Linked DNA regions of Drosophila melanogaster. The protein of the gene in region 1 purifies or fractionates together with the protein of each later gene. This does not show direct contact. Each region holds a gene or a part of one and is shown in the gene's direction. Other genes may lie near its edges.

The links.
Region 2: the proteins of IKKbeta (region 1) and CG5174 purify together in Drosophila melanogaster (affinity purification with mass spectrometry, with the first as the bait; one large-scale study listed by BioGRID). This does not show direct contact.
Region 3: the proteins of IKKbeta (region 1) and CCT1 purify together in Drosophila melanogaster (affinity purification with mass spectrometry, with the first as the bait; one large-scale study listed by BioGRID). This does not show direct contact.
Region 4: the proteins of IKKbeta (region 1) and CG12279 purify together in Drosophila melanogaster (affinity purification with mass spectrometry, with the first as the bait; one large-scale study listed by BioGRID). This does not show direct contact.

What each region holds. Positions count from the first base shown.
Region 1 is NT_033777.3:16,045,829-16,051,288, reverse strand, and holds IKKbeta (I-kappaB kinase beta), read left to right. Parts: upstream 1-1,867; 5' UTR 1,868-1,968; coding exon 1,969-2,068; intron 2,069-2,128; exon of another isoform or gene 2,129-2,258; intron 2,259-2,477; coding exon 2,478-3,931; intron 3,932-3,986; coding exon 3,987-4,156; intron 4,157-4,224; coding exon 4,225-4,620; intron 4,621-4,675; coding exon 4,676-4,709; 3' UTR 4,710-4,942; downstream 4,943-5,460. Other genes in the region: CG5013 (uncharacterized protein), read right to left, coding at 707-1,321, 1,373-1,501; Jhbp5 (juvenile hormone binding protein 5), read left to right, coding at 5,380-5,460.
Region 2 is NT_033778.4:18,420,959-18,426,727, forward strand, and holds CG5174 (uncharacterized protein), read left to right. Parts: upstream 1-1,973; 5' UTR 1,974-2,326; coding exon 2,327-2,777; intron 2,778-2,910; coding exon of another isoform or gene 2,911-2,913; intron 2,914-3,010; coding exon of another isoform or gene 3,011-3,049; intron 3,050-3,168; coding exon 3,169-3,293; intron 3,294-3,367; coding exon 3,368-3,528; intron 3,529-3,648; coding exon 3,649-3,708; intron 3,709-3,913; coding exon 3,914-4,118; intron 4,119-4,381; coding exon 4,382-4,489; 3' UTR 4,490-5,005; coding exon of another isoform or gene 5,006-5,047; 3' UTR 5,048-5,263; downstream 5,264-5,769.
Region 3 is NT_033777.3:22,488,550-22,493,237, reverse strand, and holds CCT1 (chaperonin containing TCP1 subunit 1), read left to right. Parts: upstream 1-1,798; 5' UTR 1,799-1,822; exon of another isoform or gene 1,823-1,886; 5' UTR 1,887-1,906; coding exon 1,907-1,979; intron 1,980-2,216; coding exon 2,217-2,370; intron 2,371-2,425; coding exon 2,426-3,316; intron 3,317-3,379; coding exon 3,380-3,935; 3' UTR 3,936-4,133; downstream 4,134-4,688. Other genes in the region: tHMG2 (testis-enriched HMG-box-containing protein 2), read right to left, coding at 220-222; tHMG1 (testis-enriched HMG-box-containing protein 1), read right to left, coding at 931-1,311; CG5376 (uncharacterized protein), read left to right, coding at 4,356-4,553, 4,605-4,688. UniProt on the Drosophila melanogaster protein: Molecular chaperone; assists the folding of proteins upon ATP hydrolysis. Known to play a role, in vitro, in the folding of actin and tubulin.
Region 4 is NT_033777.3:12,703,472-12,706,346, forward strand, and holds CG12279 (uncharacterized protein), read left to right. Parts: upstream 1-1,622; 5' UTR 1,623-1,689; coding exon 1,690-1,810; intron 1,811-1,872; coding exon 1,873-2,032; intron 2,033-2,051; exon of another isoform or gene 2,052-2,094; coding exon 2,095-2,146; 3' UTR 2,147-2,199; downstream 2,200-2,875. Other genes in the region: Past1 (putative achaete scute target 1), read left to right, coding at 168-341, 405-610; PolQ (DNA polymerase theta), read right to left, coding at 2,200-2,510, 2,577-2,875.

The sequences.
Region 1 (5,460 bases):
AGCCGCAGATGAAGCACATATCGCCCATTTTAGCGACAAACAAATTGCGACGCCCTGGAACAAAATCGCGATGCATCCGAGTGCATTCCGGTACACGCACTAGCACACTCACCATCAGAATTGTGATCCAAGTACCGCCGTAGAGCGGGGACTGGGCGAGGAGCTGCGGGACTTACAGCTGGCCAGGGACAGCGGCTTGAAAGGGCTGCGCAATGCAATAACTTCGATTTTTCGCAGGCGACGACGTACCAACACTTACACACGGCACAACACAGAAGCACGCACACTTATTCGACAAAGACACACCGACGGGGTCTTTCCGGGATGCCAAGTAATGTAGCAACAATGAACAATAACTTAACTACGTTTCCAGCACTTCGAGCCTCTTTTGTGCAGCGGAATTTACTTGGTTTCGCGGTAGGTAAATAAATAATAATTTTCGCAGTTTTCCAACAGCGTCGTTGCGCCAGTGTGACCGCTACTCACAACTCTAGCATCCCCTAAAACCTAGAATTAGTGTGCTGGGTGGAAAACTTTGATAGGTACGCGCTAAATTTTAAACATATATTTCCAAATATTTGGCCAACATTGATTTCAAGCGATTACCACAGGCAAATATTTATTTGATGTTTGGGAGCATTCCCGTGTAGAACATTAACTAAGAGAGATTTGACATTCAGCATAAAAAAAGCCAATTGTATAATTGTTATGTTGTATTTATTGAGCCATCGCTTTCGATGCGCGTGATCTCCAGAAGATGAATAGTGTGTCCGCCCATAAACTCCAGCAGATCCACTCCCGACTCCTTGCCAATGTCCTCCATGCTGATGGGTAAAGCCTGCAGCTTCCACTTCTTGAGCAGCGCCTCTATGGACCAGTCGGCGCTCCGCTCCTGGTATGTAAATATAAATTTGGCCCCGGCATTTCGCTCCAGCAGAAAAGCAACTGTGACCACGATATCCTCGAACACGCTGGGATCGTAGAAGCAGTCTGCTGCAATGATAAGGTCCAGAGGCGGCAGTCGGAACACGCTGTTCAGCAGCAGGCCCCAACTCAGGCCCACCACATCGATATCAACGCCCGGCTGCAGTTGATTGGCCAGGCAGGACTTTCGGATATGGGCCAGTGACTTGGGCAGAATGCAGTTGTCAGTAAGTACCACTTGGGCGCGGCATTTGGCCGCCAGAATGCCGGGCAGGGCGGTGCCGCTTCCCAGCTCCAGGATGCGCTTGCCCGCCAGTGTCTGTCGGCGCTCCCACAGGAAGTGGGCTAAAATTGGTGCGCAAGGCCATGTGTAGAAGGAGTAGGCACCCTGAAGCAGCTGTAGGCGGACACTTTAGATACTACACGAACACCTGGTTCTAAGGATTACCTCAGGTATTTTGATCTCCAGTCGCTCGGCGGGTGATCCGCTGAAGACAAACTTGCGGATATGCTCGGCAGTGGCTGTGGCCGCCACAATGTCATTGTCCTCGCTGCCGCTCTTCATGTGGAAACGCATCTTAGCTCAAGCATGCAGGAGTATTACTATTTTCACTAAACTAAAGTTATTTTTCAGCGTTTTGTTTACAACCTGTTTGATTAGCGATGTCACTTCGTTGCGATAACTTAATCGATAAAAATTGAGGCGAGTGAAGCAAATAGTGACCGAAGGGTGACTTCAGTAGCAGTTGACATTTTAAGCCACCATTTCTAAGCTTCAATTAAAAACGTTTTTGGGTATCCCAATTCGTCCAGTTTATTTAAAGGTATGCATCCCAATTGAAAGTGGCTGCAGCTGAGCGCTCCTCTAAACAAAATTCTCGTGACCGCGATTGCTGCTGAACGATGACTAGTGTATAAGCAATCGAATATCGCAAATCTTGTATGATCACTGTGGTGTTTTGCTTTTCCGATTGCCATGGAGGGATTCAGATTCTTGGAAGAATGAGCTCCGTAAATAAAATAAAGCTTAACGAAAACAACAAGATGCACTCTTTTGGGAACTGGGAGCGGTGCCGGAATCTGGGAGAGGGCGGATTCGGCCTAGTGATCCATTGGCGAAACCGAACAACGGGCCGTGAAATTGGTGAGCTATAAACACCTTATGGGCTAACACTAATATACATATACATATAAATATTTTAAGGATTTTCTTTTTCGCAAACACACATTACCAGCCCCCAAACACCCTCCCCCTTTCCAGCCTTACTCATAAATAAATAAATTTTTTGTTGTATTTTGTATATATCCAAATAATAAAACCATAAAAACAACATACATATACATATGAACATGTTTGTTGTCCAACAATTCCCAGAAACCGAGCTGAGGCATGCGTTTCCGGGTGGTCCACTGATAGTGATAGAGGGCTCGAGTTTTGCGCGTTTGGTGTGGTCTCCGCATTAGATATGTCGCTTATAGCCTTTCGGCTGAGTTAGCCGATATGGCAGATATTTTAAGCGTCAGTCTTAAGTGTTTATTTATTTTCCACATAGCCACCAAGCACATAAAGGAGATGGGGGCCCTGAGTGCCGATCAGCAAGTCAAGCTCAGCGAGCGTTGGAACAAGGAGCTGAACTGGTCTCGTCAGTTTAAAAACTTTCCCCATATTGTGGCTGGCGTGGACATCGAGGATCCGGACTTTTTGGAGTACCTGAATGGCATGTTTAGTGCCAAGTTGCCTGTTATTGTGCTGGAATACTGTAACGGTGGAGACGTGAGGAAGCGTCTGCAGAGCCCGGAGAATGCTAATGGTCTGACGGAGTTCGAGGTGCGGCAGATACTGGGAGCCCTACGTAAGGCCCTACATTTTCTGCACTCGCAGTGTGGGATTTGCCACCGCGATTTGAAGCCGGACAATATAGTAATCCAACGTGGAGTTGATGGCAAAAAAATCTATAAGCTAACCGATTTTGGACTCGCCCGAGGAACTCCCGACCAGACCATGGTGCAGAGCGTGGTGGGCACCCGACATTACTATGCCCCAGAAGTGGTGGAAAATGGTTTTTACAACTCGACCGTGGATTTATGGTCCTTCGGAGTAATTGCCTATGAGCTGGTCACTGGTGAGCTGCCCTTCATCCCCCATCAAACCCTTAAAAACATTATACTCAATCTGATAAAAAAGCCCGCCAAATGCATTGCTATCACAGAGGATCCGGAGGATAACACTCGTTTCGTGAATCAGTTTGAACTGCCACAGACGCACCATCTGTCGCGGCCCTGGGCTGCTCAGTTCACCAAATGGCTGGCAAGCCCGTTAAACTCAAACTACAAGGAACGCGGTCAACTAGCAGCTAATAACGTTCCAGTCGTCTTCGCTGACCTGGACAAAATACTCAATATGAATGTGCTAACTATTTTTGCTGTTAACAACTGCGAACGACTTGAGTATGCGGTCTCTGCGGAGATGACTATGAAGGATCTAATTGCGTTGATTGTCCTGGACACTGGAATGGACGAAAAGGAACTGTACTTCGTGCTGCCCACTTCCCATCCGCACAAAACGATTACGCCTAAAAGTACGCCCTTGCAGCTGTATGTGGAGGAGTGGAGTGACACAAGCAAAGATTCACGAAAGTGGACTAAGCGCAGCAATCCACCTGTGATGTTGTACATCTTTCAGGTCAAGAAAGAGTGTGACTACAAAATACCTGAACCCATTCTATCAATTCTTTCTCGAAAGTTTATCGCTAACAAATTTAAGACGAAGGAAAGATGGCTGCAAAAACGTGTTGTCTTGGATATGCTCTACGTGCTAACCAAAGAGCAAGCAAGATACGAAATGCTCGTGTCAGGAATAAACGAGCGAGCGTTGTCGTTGGAAGACGAAATGATGGAAAACTCGTTTATAGACAGCATCGATAAGCAGCGTATCATAATCTCCTTTGCCTATGATCAGCTAACAAGCTTGCTAAAAGAAGCCCAAGCAAAGATTCCGTCCCGCCAGGTAGCAGTTCTTACTATACTCCTTAATCCCGTAGTAATTCAGTGTTTTTTTCCAGCTTATCAGCAGTGCACAGTGGGAGAAGCTTAACCGCAATTATAATTTCATTATACAAAGCGCAAAATCAATTAGGTCTTTCTTGGAAGCCTGCTTGCGGGAAGCCAAGGACATGGTTAAAACCACCAATCAACTACGGAAAGAAGTTTGCGAGAAAGACCTATTCGATTGGTAAGGTTTTTATATCAAATGACCAGACCAATATGTATAATGCAGCGTTTTTATTTTTTAATTCTTAGCGCTCGATTTTATAAGAAATATCTCTGCAATGGTGCGATAATTTCGCCATCAGAGTTAAATAATGACGCCGAGGAATTCGCAAAATCTCGTTTCAAGTTATATAACGAGGGCGAGGCTAGACATCTGCCCAAGTCTATCGATCACATGCATTACTTATATTTTAAGACCAAGGAGTCCATCCCGGTCCTTCTACAACAATTTTGCGACATCAAGAAGGAGATATTTCAGATTAACTTGCAGATGTTGATGTCAGCCTCAAGCACACCACCTCCGAAGCTTGAGCTAAGCGCAGCGATGGACCGCCTAGCTATAAGCTCTGGCTCACCCAGCTCGGATCCATTTGACTCTCTACGCACGATAAACGCTATCGAAGAGGCAGAAAGGATTAACAACATGTAAGTTAATACAGAAAACTGTTAAAAATTTACTAATAAATCATTTGGGTTACAGACTTGTTAATGAAATGAAAATTGATCACTATTAGTGTGCATTCTGGTCGACCATACATTTTAATTTGATTTCAATCAAACCGCATAAATATTTCTCCATTCGAAATCATACAAATGTGTATTTCGATTTTTTGTTATTGCCCGCTTATCCAATTAATTAGCTTTATTAGTTTCATAGAATCTTTAATGTTCTCATTTGGAAACGTTTTTTTTTTTGTTTAGAAATATGTGTTACGAACATTGAAATAAATGACAAACCTTATTTTTTACTAGCTACGCTTTTTCACTGGAAAACCCAAGTGTTTACACGACTTAATTTATGTTCGCGGTATCGTGAAATAGTGCACTTGCATTTGATCTGATTTCCAGATGTGTATGTTACTATATCAATACTTGCTATATATTCAATCCACAGTAGATTATATAATTTTATGACATATATATATGTATGTATATATATATATAGACAGACCGCTTAATTTCTGAATAAACAGCTGTATATAGCTTGGCTTGGTCAATTGAAATGAAACTTGCTGAGGATTGCAATGTCACGGGAAATTGCACATGCGGCAGAACAGAGAATTAGTCGGCTTTTGGCCATGCCAGACGTTGCTATAAAAGAAAATCGAACAACTGGGCAGCCACCAGAAGCCGAAAGCCAGTGACCACTGCCAGAGCTTCAAGGAGATCGCAAGGAAACACAAAATGAACCAATACTTTTTGACGGGCTTGCTTTTGGTGCTAGGAGTAGTACTACATATAGACTGGACAACAGCCAAACCTCCG
Region 2 (5,769 bases), on another chromosome or scaffold:
ACGGACAAAATCAAATGTAAGAGTCGACGGCCAAATGGCAATTGCTGTCTGCAAAACAAAATATTTTCATTAACAATTCGATTTCTAACTATAATTTTCAACCCAGATATAGCAGATACAACCGTATGTCTTATTTCTTTTGAAATACAAAAGTTTTAAACCGAAACTTTTCTGTTTGAATAAAGGCGCGATCTGGCAGCTCTAGGTAGTGGTGTCACAGCGTCGATAACTAACTTAGTTTCTCACCGAGCTGCAACAAGTTTAATTACAATCGATAACGAAGATTGGAGCTTTTAGTGAGTAAAATTTGACCCATTTCTGTTGTTTGAACGTTTATTACGCATTACGTATTTACTTAAGCGATTTTGTGAATTTTTTGTGTGTAGTTATGTGCACGAGAGATGGAATTTTTGACCGAAAGCTGCTATCGATAGTGACATTCCTTCGATTTATTTTAGCAACCATCGATAGCTAAGCAAGCGAAACAAAAAATTATTTTCAACTTGAAAGTTTTGCGACAAGTGCGTGCAGTTGGCATCGAAATAGTTAACAAAATTGCCGCAGACTTCCGGAGACAACGCCGTAATGGAGGACCGTAAGTGTGTGGCATACGGACGCAGTGCATCATTGCAATTCCAATGCAGCGGCACATGTTTCCGTGGGCTCTTGTGACCTGGGCGATTGGGACACCTAAGACCTTTCGGGTAATTCGGGTATCATTACTATTGTAGGACTCTGATTCAGCAGCGGCTTTGCCAAAAGTTTTGGGGGACTTAGAATACACAATGAGTTAACCTTGGTGCGCTGGGAATCAGCAGATGAGTCATGGTTCCGATTTGCGTAGGGTGAAAGGCTTTCCAACTATTCGGATTACCGTGGAAGTTCTGCGACATGCCATCGATGGCAATCCGTTTGGTGGGCGGGGGTCAGGTTCTTTGTGGTGTAAGTATTGCATTCTCGGTTTCCGACGTCCATGCATACGTGGCTTTTAGAAGCGCAACATCCGCAGGGCGGCTATGATATGCATATCATCTGAAAACGCCTCCTCCCACTGAGCTTATCACCATGGTGCCACTATAATTGTTCGGAGCTCTGTTCCCCCACCGAAACCACTTAGTAATTGGCTTCCACTTGTTGACTTCTCGATGGGATTGGGCCTGCCACAACAACAGGCACTTCTGAGCAGCAAGAACTCGCAGCAAACCAGAACTAGCTCACATATATATATATATATATATATAGTGTAGATATAGGGTCCATCAATGTGGCACAGTGGCTTTGTGCTCATACAGTGCTTGATGGTCGGAGGAAGCTGGGAAAAATCGGAAAAATCCAAACTGGTAATTGCTATTTAGCAAGAAGCTAAATTATGAATTATTTTCCTTTTTTTGTTTGGCTCCAACAAAGCGATACAGTTATGTACAGTACGTTTTTGCAAAGAAAAACTTTATTTATAGTTATATTTAAAGTTCCTTATCATAGGGTTTTTCAATTTTTAAAGTTGTTCATCTCCTCACAATTGTTTACTTAATAAATTTAAAAGGTACAATTAAAGAAGAATATTATTCAATTAATAAATTGAAGTCTCGGTTTATCAAAGCTTTTTGACTGATAAAATAATCATTTTAGCTGCAATTAAATTAGACACATATATGTATATCTAGTGTCTTATCAAAGCGTACTTATTATTTATGCAAATATTATTAGCTTTATAACTTTCCCATGCTTATTAATTTATAAATTAAATGAAGTGTAAAGTTGGTTACTATAGAGCTAATGTATTTACGTAGCTGTAACTTTTAGTCAAGCTCTACTGTAGTCTTGCTGGTTGCTACTGCTGCTGCTGCCTGTTGCTGCCCCTTTTGTTTAGCGCTCTTCTTGTGGCATTTCTCGTCTTCGTGCTGACACGAATCATCAACAAGCGGAGCCAAGCGGCCAACCAATCCACATCTACCAATTTCTAAGCCGAGATCGAGTCAGTTGGCATTTGGCTGTAGACGAGCGTGGATGGAGCAGGCCCAGAATCGAAAGCGAAAACGAAACTGAAATCGAAACAGAAACAGAAGAACCACCACAAACCAGCTGCGATCGCATGGGGAGAGGAATTTATGTGGAACGCGGCGGGCCAAGAACTGAAAGCTCAGCAAAGAACGATCGAAGTGGCTGAAAGCAGGGCCAAGAAAAATGTGCTCGCTGCTGACCGTGGAAACGTGATATGTGCTTAGGATTGGGCCAAGACAATATGAGCCTCCTGCGCCAGCAGCTGCCACGTTCAAAATAGAAAGTTGCTGCCAAAGATGAAAGAGAGCGCCGCTATTGCCACAGAATGAGCGAATCGGAACCGAATAGCCTGGAGTTCATTGAAGACCCCTATCTGCCAAGCATTGATGATCTCACCAGCACACCGTCACTGGATCTGGAAACCAATGATGCCGTCTTGGACTGGTATGGCGATGGGCAGGAGGAGAGCGAGGCTGAGCTATATTTGCGTAATCTGACGCTAGACCAGATATTCTACGATGTGGATTCGGACTACACCAACAGCCTGGAATTGCAGGCAGTGGAGGCGGACTTCATTGCCGCCAAGTTGGCCAATCAAGCGCCATCGTCTTCGATGGCCAAACGCTTCCGCTTGAAGTTCTTTGCCAAGCGAACCATGCGCGACGTTAAGGTCACGTTCATAGACTTCTCCAAACCGTATCTGGCCAAAATATCAAACAGTGATAACTACAAGAGATTCCTCAACATTGGGCATAGAAGTAGAGGTACCAAATTCGGTCAGTGGGGAGGGGGGTTGGTGGGCTTAGGTCGGGTCTTTGTTCTGTGGCATTCGCTTTTCCACTTTCAACCATGACTAACCAGACTAACTTCTCTGTTTCTTTCTCCTTTGCCTGCCTTTCGCCTCGTCAGTTTGTGAGTATTAACAAAAACCCAGATCTAACCAATTAACCAACTCATGTCTTTGCAAATTGTACATACTCGTATATACAACTAAATTCGGTGTATTCAGCCTATGACAAAGTCTTTGAGGAAGTTGCTTTCAAAGGAGGTACTTAAACACTACCCGCCGACAACATTGAAATTAAGCTACAGTCCCCACACAGCACCCCAAGTTTTAATGTTCCCTTGGATTGGCATATATTTAATGGCTTTTTATTTCATGTTCAGATAATACAGCCAACCTGTCGGAGCCAGCATCTCCAGCTAATTCTGTGGCATCCGCAGAAATTGCCGCCGAGTTCGCTGCGCTTTCCGTCGAGGAGAAGGAGCAGCGTCGGGCTGAGTGGAGTCAGGTAAGGAAGTTTTCAGTTTTACGATCATAATTTGATTACTCAGCTCGAACGCTAACTTCTACTTCAATTTCCAGGAGCTCGCCCGCGTTGAGGAAGAGATCAATACGCTGCGAACTGTCCTAGCCTCCAAGACGCGCCATGCCTCCGATCTCAAGCGCAAGCTGGGCATCACCGTCTGGAAGGAGGTGACGGACGACGTGAACCAGGGCCTTAAGAACCTCAAGGAGAGCACTGTGTAAGTCTATGAACCGTTCGCAGTTCTGCTGGGCAATTAACCCGACTAGACAGTTTTAATTTCTAACCATGCTTTTTGTTTCAAACTCCTGTTGAAACGCTATAACGTGTATTTATTTAGTTACCAATCGGTGGAGCAGAGCGTGGGCACGTTTACTAAAACGGTGTACGAGGCACCACTGTAAGTAATTGGGTTCAGGCTGATTTTTAATTGGGTACTTTTGGAGTTACCGGACTAACGCCGTGTTTCACGCCACTTCCTTTAACACAATAACCAACTCTCGCCTGTTTGTAACTAAAGCGCACCTATGTTTGCCCACTTTGTGTATGGAGGAAAACTATCGAGATGAGTAACTAATGTTGGATTTATTTGTACTCTCCCCTAGATACCAACGCACTGAGTCGGTGCTAAAGTCCACGGGCGAGAAGACCGCCTCGGTGTTTGGCAGCATCACCAGTGGCATTTCGTCGAAACTGTCGCAAATGAAAAACTCCGAATCGATGCGTTCTATCGAGGCTTCGGTGGGCTCTGCCTACGAGAACGTTAAAGTAAGCTATGAACACAACAATTTTATGTGCCAATCTCATGCGGTAACTACTATTTTATTATATATCTGTCTTTACACATCTCTCATACTGTTGCGATTCTGTTTTGGTTCCCGTCTAACTAACTAGCCACTAACTAACCAACTAACTAACACTAACCACACATCTTTCACACTTGCTCACCCACTATAAACGCACTCTGAATTGGGATACTTCGGTTGATTTGCTTGCTTACACAACGAACTACTCCTTGCGCAAATGCTACTGCACCTCTACTACAATCTGTTCGGTTTTCTGTTCTATTGTAGACCAAGGTGACATCCCGCTCGGGTTCGGTGTCCAGTTTCCCAGATGCCCTGGACGAGAATAACACATCCTCGGGTCTGAATTCACCCACAGACTCACTCCCGAAATAGATTTCGGGGCAACTGCAAGGCCAAGCGCGTCGATAATGTGGAGCAACCTATACTACATACAAACAGACCCACGCACCCACTCTATTAACTTATTTAACTAAAGCGAATTGTCGTGTCTGCGCACTAACAACAGGATCAGAATTAATTTAACCAGAAATCATATGTACACCTGTGTCGATACGGTTTATATAATACTTAATATAACTAAAATCTGCGCGTCAAAAATTTGCCAATGGGAGCACATATTATATGCATCTATTTGTATTTGCCTTGGAGACACCATCAAATTGCATGACTTGTTTAAATTTAAAGCCACGGAGGATCGAAGATCCAAGGGCTTGCTGCATTCGTTTATATAACTATCAATCTAAGTGTACGTTTAAAGACTAAACCACATTGGATGGTCCACCCGATGTCATTCCCAAATGTTTCTAATACTTAGTAAAAACATTAGAAAATCATGCATTGCGGTTAAAGTGAATATACATTTGTTTTACGCTTTTATTTCTTCTCTAGGCGTTGAGTTCCGTGGTTAGATGGCGTTCCCTAATCCGTTGAAAAGCCAATTCCAAATTTATTTAGTACTAAATATTTGTGTTACGATCAGAGCTTGCGTGCAAATAACGAAAATCCATTGGTAAACTTAAGTGGATGTAGTCCGTACTGCTGAAGATTGAGAAAGAGACGAAATCGCACCCAATTTGTTGCTAATGCTGATCAAATTTGCTATATGTGTATGAAATCTTTGAATAAATGCAAAAATTTTTGCCCCATAAAAATAGCGATGTCTTTTTGATAAATGATGTTTGGGAGTATATGTGTGATTACCTTTTCAAACTTAAACTACAGCTAATGAATTAAAAAAAGTTAATTTCCAATTTCATCTGTCAGCTTTAAATATCCCGCCAAAAATTATAATAAAGTTGACAACTCTGATTTAACCCAGGGATCAACGTAAAACAGCTGTTTGCTTTGACGAGGTGGCAACGCCATAGAGGGTTCTTGCATACTTCTCAATTTTTTCTTCAGGCCACAAGAAAATCTTTAGATATGAGGAATTTTAAATGAAAACAGCGAGCAAACAGAACGCATCGTGATGCCGGAAACCTAATCAACCACTCCGAAGTAAAGTGCAATTAAATTACATAGTTTTATACAACTGAAAGCGGCTGGCCAGCCGCATAAAGTATTCGCCTACACCAGCATTGTTCTAAATGCTAAAAAGTTTATTACTCATTAAGCATTTGTGTGCCTAGTTAGTTAATTAATCGCAGCCGAAA
Region 3 (4,688 bases), 6.4 Mb from region 1:
AAAATGTTTACTTTAAAAATTTAATTGGAAAATTTGTAGTAGATGTAAGAAATTCTACGATTTGGACTGAATATCGTTGAGATCCAGACGAAACTAAAAATATCTTACAGAGCACATGATAAGTAATGCGAAATCAAAGTCAATGCCTACTGAATAGTTTTAATTTATTATAGGGCATATTTTTAAGGCACCAATATTTAGTATTTAAAAAAGCGTTACCATGATTTTCAACCAGGGCTTCCAAAACAATCGGTTATCGGTTTCCAGCAATATCTGTAAGGTGGCTTTGAATGTGCTGCTGAAAAATACTGTATAGCCTGGATTAATTCCGCGAACTTTGTGAAAGTAAGAAAAGTTAAAAACTCGCGCTAATTAGTGCCAGTTTGAGTAGGTAATTACAAATAACTTTCCATTAAAAATAGTAAATAACTTTCACTGTTTTCCCTTTTTTTTCTGCGCACACCACATTGTTAATTGAGTTAAAAGGCAAAGTTTTAATTTATGTTCCTGCCATGCAATCACGTTTTCACTTTCCCAGCCGTTCGTATTCGTAGGCCATAGCCACTATAGTAACTCATTATGCATGTAACACGGCATACTTTGTGCGATCTTTAAAATTCAATAAGGTAACTATGAAAAAAGGACCCCAAACCGTTGAAACGCTGATGGCTAGCGAGTTTTTCATTCGTTTTCCCTCTTTTTTAACAAGCCGCCAGCAAAGTGCTTTCACAGATTTTTGTTGGCCATACTGGTCCAAGACCCGCGAGATAGGACATGGAAAACTTGGAGAGTACAGCCAAGCATTTTCGGCTGATGGTGCGCTTCTGTATGTATGCTACGAAAAGTGTTAATATTTAAATTTATCAAAAACAAATTTATATTAGCTTGTGGATTTTAGTACAACAATAAATTAACAAATGTAGTAAACGCTTAGTGAAGGCACCTGGTCTTTGATAAGCACTTCCTGCAGATCGGAGTCATCGAGTCATCCATGGTGTCGTACACAAAAAGGGTGGGGCATTGGTTAGTATTTGAGGAACAAATACATTGCGTGTCCGAAAAGCGGTGCTCCTTGGGGAAATTCCACTGCTTCAACTTCTCCTTGTACTCGGCCATTGCCGTGGTGGCCGACTCCTGCCACACGATCTTGTCCTCATCGGCCATGGCTCGCCACATCTCTCCGCCCTTCACAGACACTTCTTGGACACTAAAATCGGGATGCTCCGCTTTTATGTGCTTCCGCCCGGTGGAATTCATCCACAACATGAAGGCGCTCATGGGTTTTTTGGGGCGCGCTCCGCAGTCTGACATCTTTATCGTAATAAATAAAAGTTAAAAAAAATGTTTACTTTAACAATTTGTTGTAGATGTAAGAAATGCTTCGATTTGGGCTGTATATCGTTGAGATCAAGAGGTAAACTGAAAATATCTTACAGAGCACACGATATGTAATGCGAAATCAAAGTCAATGCCTACTGAATACTTTTACTCCATCAGAAAGCACAATTTTATAATTAATAATTAATAATTAATAATAATCTTGAATTAATATTTAAAAAACCGTTACCTGATGCTCAACCAGGGTTCCCTAAACAATCGGTTATCGATTACCATCGATACTTTGAACGCCGCTTTGAATGTGCTGCAAAATATGCCTAATAATAAATAAGCCAATATATGTTCTATATATTTTTGATGCTGCGCTAATGTAACACATAGTATAAACTTATAAATGTTATGGAATCCTTGCTCTCCAAGAAAAAATCTTGCACTCGATAGTATCGAATCGACATCGGGTTTTTGTTCATCTCGAAGTCTTAAAGTGAGTCAGGCGGTTTAACGTGCGGTTTTTCAGCGTATTTGATTTATCTGTTTTTTATTAAAAGTCGCGGAAGAACTTAGGAAAATGTCGACCCTGGCCTCTCCTCTGTCCATTGCTGGCACCCGCCAATCCGGCGCATCGGTGCGCACACAGAACGGTGAGAATCCCGGGGTTTTGTCAACATCTGCGGTGCGTCTGCCGGCGGAGCACGTTTCTTACTCATCGCGGGTCACGCTCTCCACGAAGAATGTTCCGGAACCAACCCGGGGGAGGGCGATCTTATTTTAATTGGATTAACAAAAAAACTCATTGAATCCAAGGAGCTACAAGATCCTGTGGACAAGCCTATGCGAAGTGAGGTTATGACTACAACTCGGCTTTTATATGCTTTCAGTTATGGCCGCTCTGTCCATATCGAACATCGTGAAAAGCTCCTTGGGACCCGTGGGTCTGGACAAGATGCTGGTGGACGACATCGGCGATGTCACAGTGACCAACGATGGAGCCACCATTCTGCGACTGCTGGAGGTGGAGCACCCGGCAGCCAAGTGAGTTGTTGATGTGGGAAATCTTTCAAAGAAGTACTCATTTCTAAATTTTAAGGGTCCTGGTTGAGCTGGCTCAGCTGCAGGACGAGGAGGTCGGCGATGGCACTACCTCGGTGGTTATCCTGGCCGCTGAGCTGCTGAAAAACGCCGACGAGCTGGTCAAGCAGAAGATTCATCCTACCTCCATAATCTCCGGCTACCGCATTGCCTGCAAGGAGGCCTGCAAGTACATCTCGGAGCATCTGACCGCTCCCGTTGATGAGCTGGGCCGCGATTCCCTGATTAACATTGCCAAGACCTCGATGAGCTCCAAGATCATTGGTGCTGACGCAGAGTTCTTCTCAGCCATGGTTGTGGACGCTGCCCAGTCGGTGAAAATCACAGATCCCCGTGGGCAGGCAGCCTATTCGATTAAAGCCATCAATGTCCTGAAGGCCCATGGCAAGTCTGCCAGGGAATCGGTGCTGATTCCCGGCTATGCCTTGAACTGCACAATTGCCTCCCAGCAGATGCCCAAGAAGATTGTGAACGCCAAGATTGCCTGCCTAGACTTCTCGCTGCAGAAGACCAAGATGAAGATGGGTGTCCAGGTCTTGATCAATGATCCCGACAAGCTGGAGGCTATTCGTGCCCGTGAGCTGGACATTACCAAGGAGCGCATCAACATGATCCTCGGAACCGGTGTCAATGTAGTACTGGTTAGCGGCGGCGTTGATGATTTGTGCATGAAGTACTTCGTTGAGGCTGGAGCCATGGCTGTGCGTCGTGTGAAGAAGAGCGATCTGAAGATCATTGCTAAGGCTACCGGCGCCGCCTTTATTACCTCGCTGACCAACATGGACGGTGAGGAGAGCTTCGATGCCTCAATGGTGGGAGAGGCCGCAGAGGTGGCCCAGGAGCGCATCTGCGATGATGAACTTATCCTCATCAAGGGCACTAAGGCACGGTAAGTGCAGATTATATCATGCAGTAACATAGTTTGCTTTATCGTATCCCTATGCCTTTTTAGTGCTGCCGCATCCATTATCTTGCGTGGTCCCAATGACTTCTACTGTGATGAGATGGAGCGCTCCGTCCACGACGCTCTGTGCGTGGTGAAGCGTGTGCTGGAGAGCAAGAAGGTTGTAGCCGGCGGCGGCTGTGTGGAGGCTGCTTTGTCGATCTACCTGGAGAACTTTGCCACCTCGCTGGCTTCCCGCGAACAGCTGGCCATTGCCGAATTCGCAAAGTCGCTGCTGGTCATTCCCAAGACTCTGTCCGTGAACGCGGCCAAGGATGCCACTGATCTAGTGGCCAAGCTCCGCTCCTACCACAACTCCAGCCAGACGAAGCCCGAGCGTTCGGATCTTAAGTGGACCGGTCTGGATCTGATCGAGGGAGTGGTAAGGGACAACAAGAAGGCTGGAGTTTTGGAGCCCGCCATGTCCAAGATCAAGTCGCTGAAGTTCGCCACGGAGGCCGCCATTACCATTTTGCGTATTGACGACATGATCAAGCTGAATCCGGAGGACAAGAGCGGCAAGAGTTACGCCGATGCATGCGCTGCCGGCGAGCTGGACGGTTAGACATTCTTCACCGCGAGCGAAGCACATTTCTTCTATCTTGTTTAGGCATTTAATTTTAATCAAATCACTCACTTTCAATTGTCGCCCCATTGATTGTAACAACAATTTAATTGTGTTGCCCTTCGCGATCTGTATTAACACCGCACATCCGCAATCCTTTCTCATCCATGCTTCAATGTATAATAAACTGATCTTCAGAATATGCTGAGGCGTAAACTAAATTGGAGGGAAACAGTTTGTTATTTCGGGAGAGCGATCTGGCCAAGAGCAGGCAGAGAGCGATCCGGAGAGTGGGATGTCCTATAAATAGAGCGTGCATCTATTTGGTCTATTAATACAAAAAGAAAACACATCCCAAAAAGCACGGAAAACGCACATTGCTCTACGAATTTTTATCATTTAAAAAGAATTCTTCATAAAATGGCCGATCATAACGAAGATGAAGCTGTTGGCGGTGACCTAAACAACAATATAACAGCAAATGGGCAGGAGGAAGTGCGTCAGCCGGAGCAGCCGCAGAACGAACTGCTGGACATGGTTTTCACGTTGGAAAGCGAAAAACAGGCACTACTAGAGGAGTCTCGCAAACGGATCGGAGCGCTCCGCAAAGACTTTGAGGTTAGTTACTCGTCTCCACGGGCTGCACCCACTTACTGACCCTGATTGCAGGAAGCCAAGGCGGAAAATGAGCGTTTAAAGCGGAGAGTGGTCCAGTTGGAGCAGTCGCTCAAGCAGTCCGTCATGCTGGGCGGC
Region 4 (2,875 bases), 3.3 Mb from region 1:
TTGGAGCCAGAGCGATCTAAAGGTTTTAATTGCCTCAAATTGAATGTTTGTGCACGGCGACGCACCGATCAACTTAGATTACATGCTTAATTAATGCAAATTTATGGCGCACACAGAGTATCGAATGCCACACTGACCTCTCCATCCATTCATCGCCTCTTCCACAGGTGGTGCCTTCGAGGGAGTCATCGACGACCATGTCTCACCATTCGGCTACATGAAGGGCGAGGGCATCGATGCCGGCTACGGAGAGCACGAGTGGATCTGCAACAAGGACAAGCCGCGCACAGATGGCATCTTCAATGGGCTGGGACCAGTCGATGGCAAGATATCCGGTGCAAGTAAGTTTGTTATAACTCAAGGGGAAAATCGAAAACAATAATCCCATTCTTCGCCACTTGCAGCTGCCAAGCAGGAACTCATCAAATCGAAACTGCCCAACTCGGTGCTCAGCAAGATCTGGAAACTGTCGGACGTCGACGGCGATGGGTTCCTGGACTCTGACGAGTTCGCGCTGGCCTTGCACTTAATCAACGTCAAGCTGGAAGGCTGCGAGCTGCCCACCGTGCTGCCGGAGCACTTAGTACCGCCGTCGAAGCGCTATGACTAGTGTCCTGTAGCATACGCATACGCACACCCGATCACACAGCCTCACAATTCCCAAAAAAAAAAAAAAAACACAGCCGTACACAGATGTCGCATAGAGACCAACTCCTAGGATGCACTATGTTCGATTCTTTTGACTTTTAGCCACACAGTGCAGGCGACTGCCCTTTTATATGTACTATACTCGTTGTGAACGCGCCATTAATGCGCTGGGTATTAAAACACACACCGTATCACCGTATGACCGACCGTATGAGATATCAATCATAAATTCGTAGAATTTACACAAGCATATAGCATATTTTTGGATAATCGATTGTAAAGCAGGATGTAGAGTAGCAGCCTAGTGGAATAAGACAAGGAGTGTGTGTTAAGCGCCTAATTGTCATTGTTGACTTAAGGAAAGTGAAGTGTGGATAAACAATTGTTCAATGCCAATGAAAAAAGCATGAGTTAAACTGTATACAATATCTAGGTTAATGTCGATGTGCAGCTTGAAGGGCCATTAATTTGCAATCGTACCACTTTTGATACACAATAAATGTATTTTTGTTATACTACAAATTTACAATCGACGGAATCGTGGGTTACGGCATGTATTTCCTGTATTTATTTTGAAATATTATTAATTGTTTGAAATGCTCCCGCAAGGCAGGCCACTTGAAAGAGAAACGTGCAATTTACTGCCTGTGCTTCGACTATTTTGTAATTAGTGAATTCTTGAATATTAAATAATATTAAATGTGAAACTAATCTGATTTTTAAATTGTATAAAAGAATAAAATGAAACTATTTTGGAAGTGTTTGTTTGGAATGTGAATGGGGGTTCATTGTTATGGTAGCTTATATTTCAAGTTGATTTTTCTTTAATCAACAAAGTAGCTATGGCTTGAAAAACGTTTCAAAAGAGAATCAGTTACTTTTCAGTAAACTTTCAAATTTTAAACTTTTCGAAACTAACTGATTTCGGTATATTTTTCTGAACTGCTGGTATATTTAATCATTCGATCTGTGGTCACACCTCAAACCGGGCTAACTTTTGAGTTCAACTAAGTTCTTTAAGAATTACCATTAAAAATAAATATGGCCACCTACGAGGAAGTCAAGGACATTCCAAACCACCCGGAGAAGTACCTGTTCGATGTGCGCAACGAGTCGGAGCTGAAGGAGACGGGCGTCCTGCCCGCCAGCATAAACATTCCACGTGAGAAGCGCCAAAGTCCAGGGATTACCGGCTTAATGGACACGCCTTTTTCTAATTTCCAGTGAGCGAGCTGGAGAAGGCACTGAACTTGCCGGAGGAGGACTTCGCCCAGACTTATGGACGCGTCAAGCCGGCCGTCGATGCGGTCTTGATCTTCTCGTGCAAGGCGGGAGGACGCGCTGCCCGGGCGGCCAATCTGGCCAGCACGCTGGGCTTCACCAAGTGAGTCTCATGTTGAAGTACGTTTTAAAAGATATGTACAATTATTTATTAATCAATTGCAGCGCCAAGGCTTATGCCGGATCATGGACGGAGTGGCAGGCCAAGCAGTCCTAAAACATTCAGTCTTTAAACAAATTGATTACAAATCTATAAAATGATATAATAAACTACACGCTAACTTCCTTAAATTCACCCCAACTGCGTCCGATCCTCAGCTTCACCTTGAGTGGCACGCTGAGTTTCACGCAGTTCTCCATGGTGAGGCTAAGGACTTTGGCTATTTTTTTGGCCTTTCCCGTTGGCACCTCGAAAATGAGTTCGTCATGTAGGTGCATTACCAGGTCAACTGAATTGTCACCCAATGCCAGCTTTTCGCGATAACGTTCAATGTTCTTTTCCATCTTCAGAATAGCGTTCTTCGCAATATCCGCAGCCGATCCTTGGATGGTGGAGTTAACGGCCTGGCGCTCGGCCTGATCTGTGAGAAAGGGAGAAAGGAGGGATGTTCAAATGGAGATCACAATCGGTTTTGGAAGACACATACTTTTTAGATGCTCCACATCACTGTTGATATTTTCCAAATACCGTCGCCGTCCAGTAATGGTCTCAACAAATCCCTTGCTGCGTGCGAAATTGACCACCCTCGTGGTGTAATCGCGAATACCCTTGTACGCCTGGTGAAACTGATCGGATATCATCCGCGCCTCCTGCTCACTGCAGTTTAACGACTCGGCCAGGGACCGCATGCCCATGCCGTAGACGATTCCGTAGCACACCTGCTTGGTGCTGTTGCGGAGGTCCTGCGTCACTTCGGACTCTTCGATTTTGTTCCAATGCGCTGCA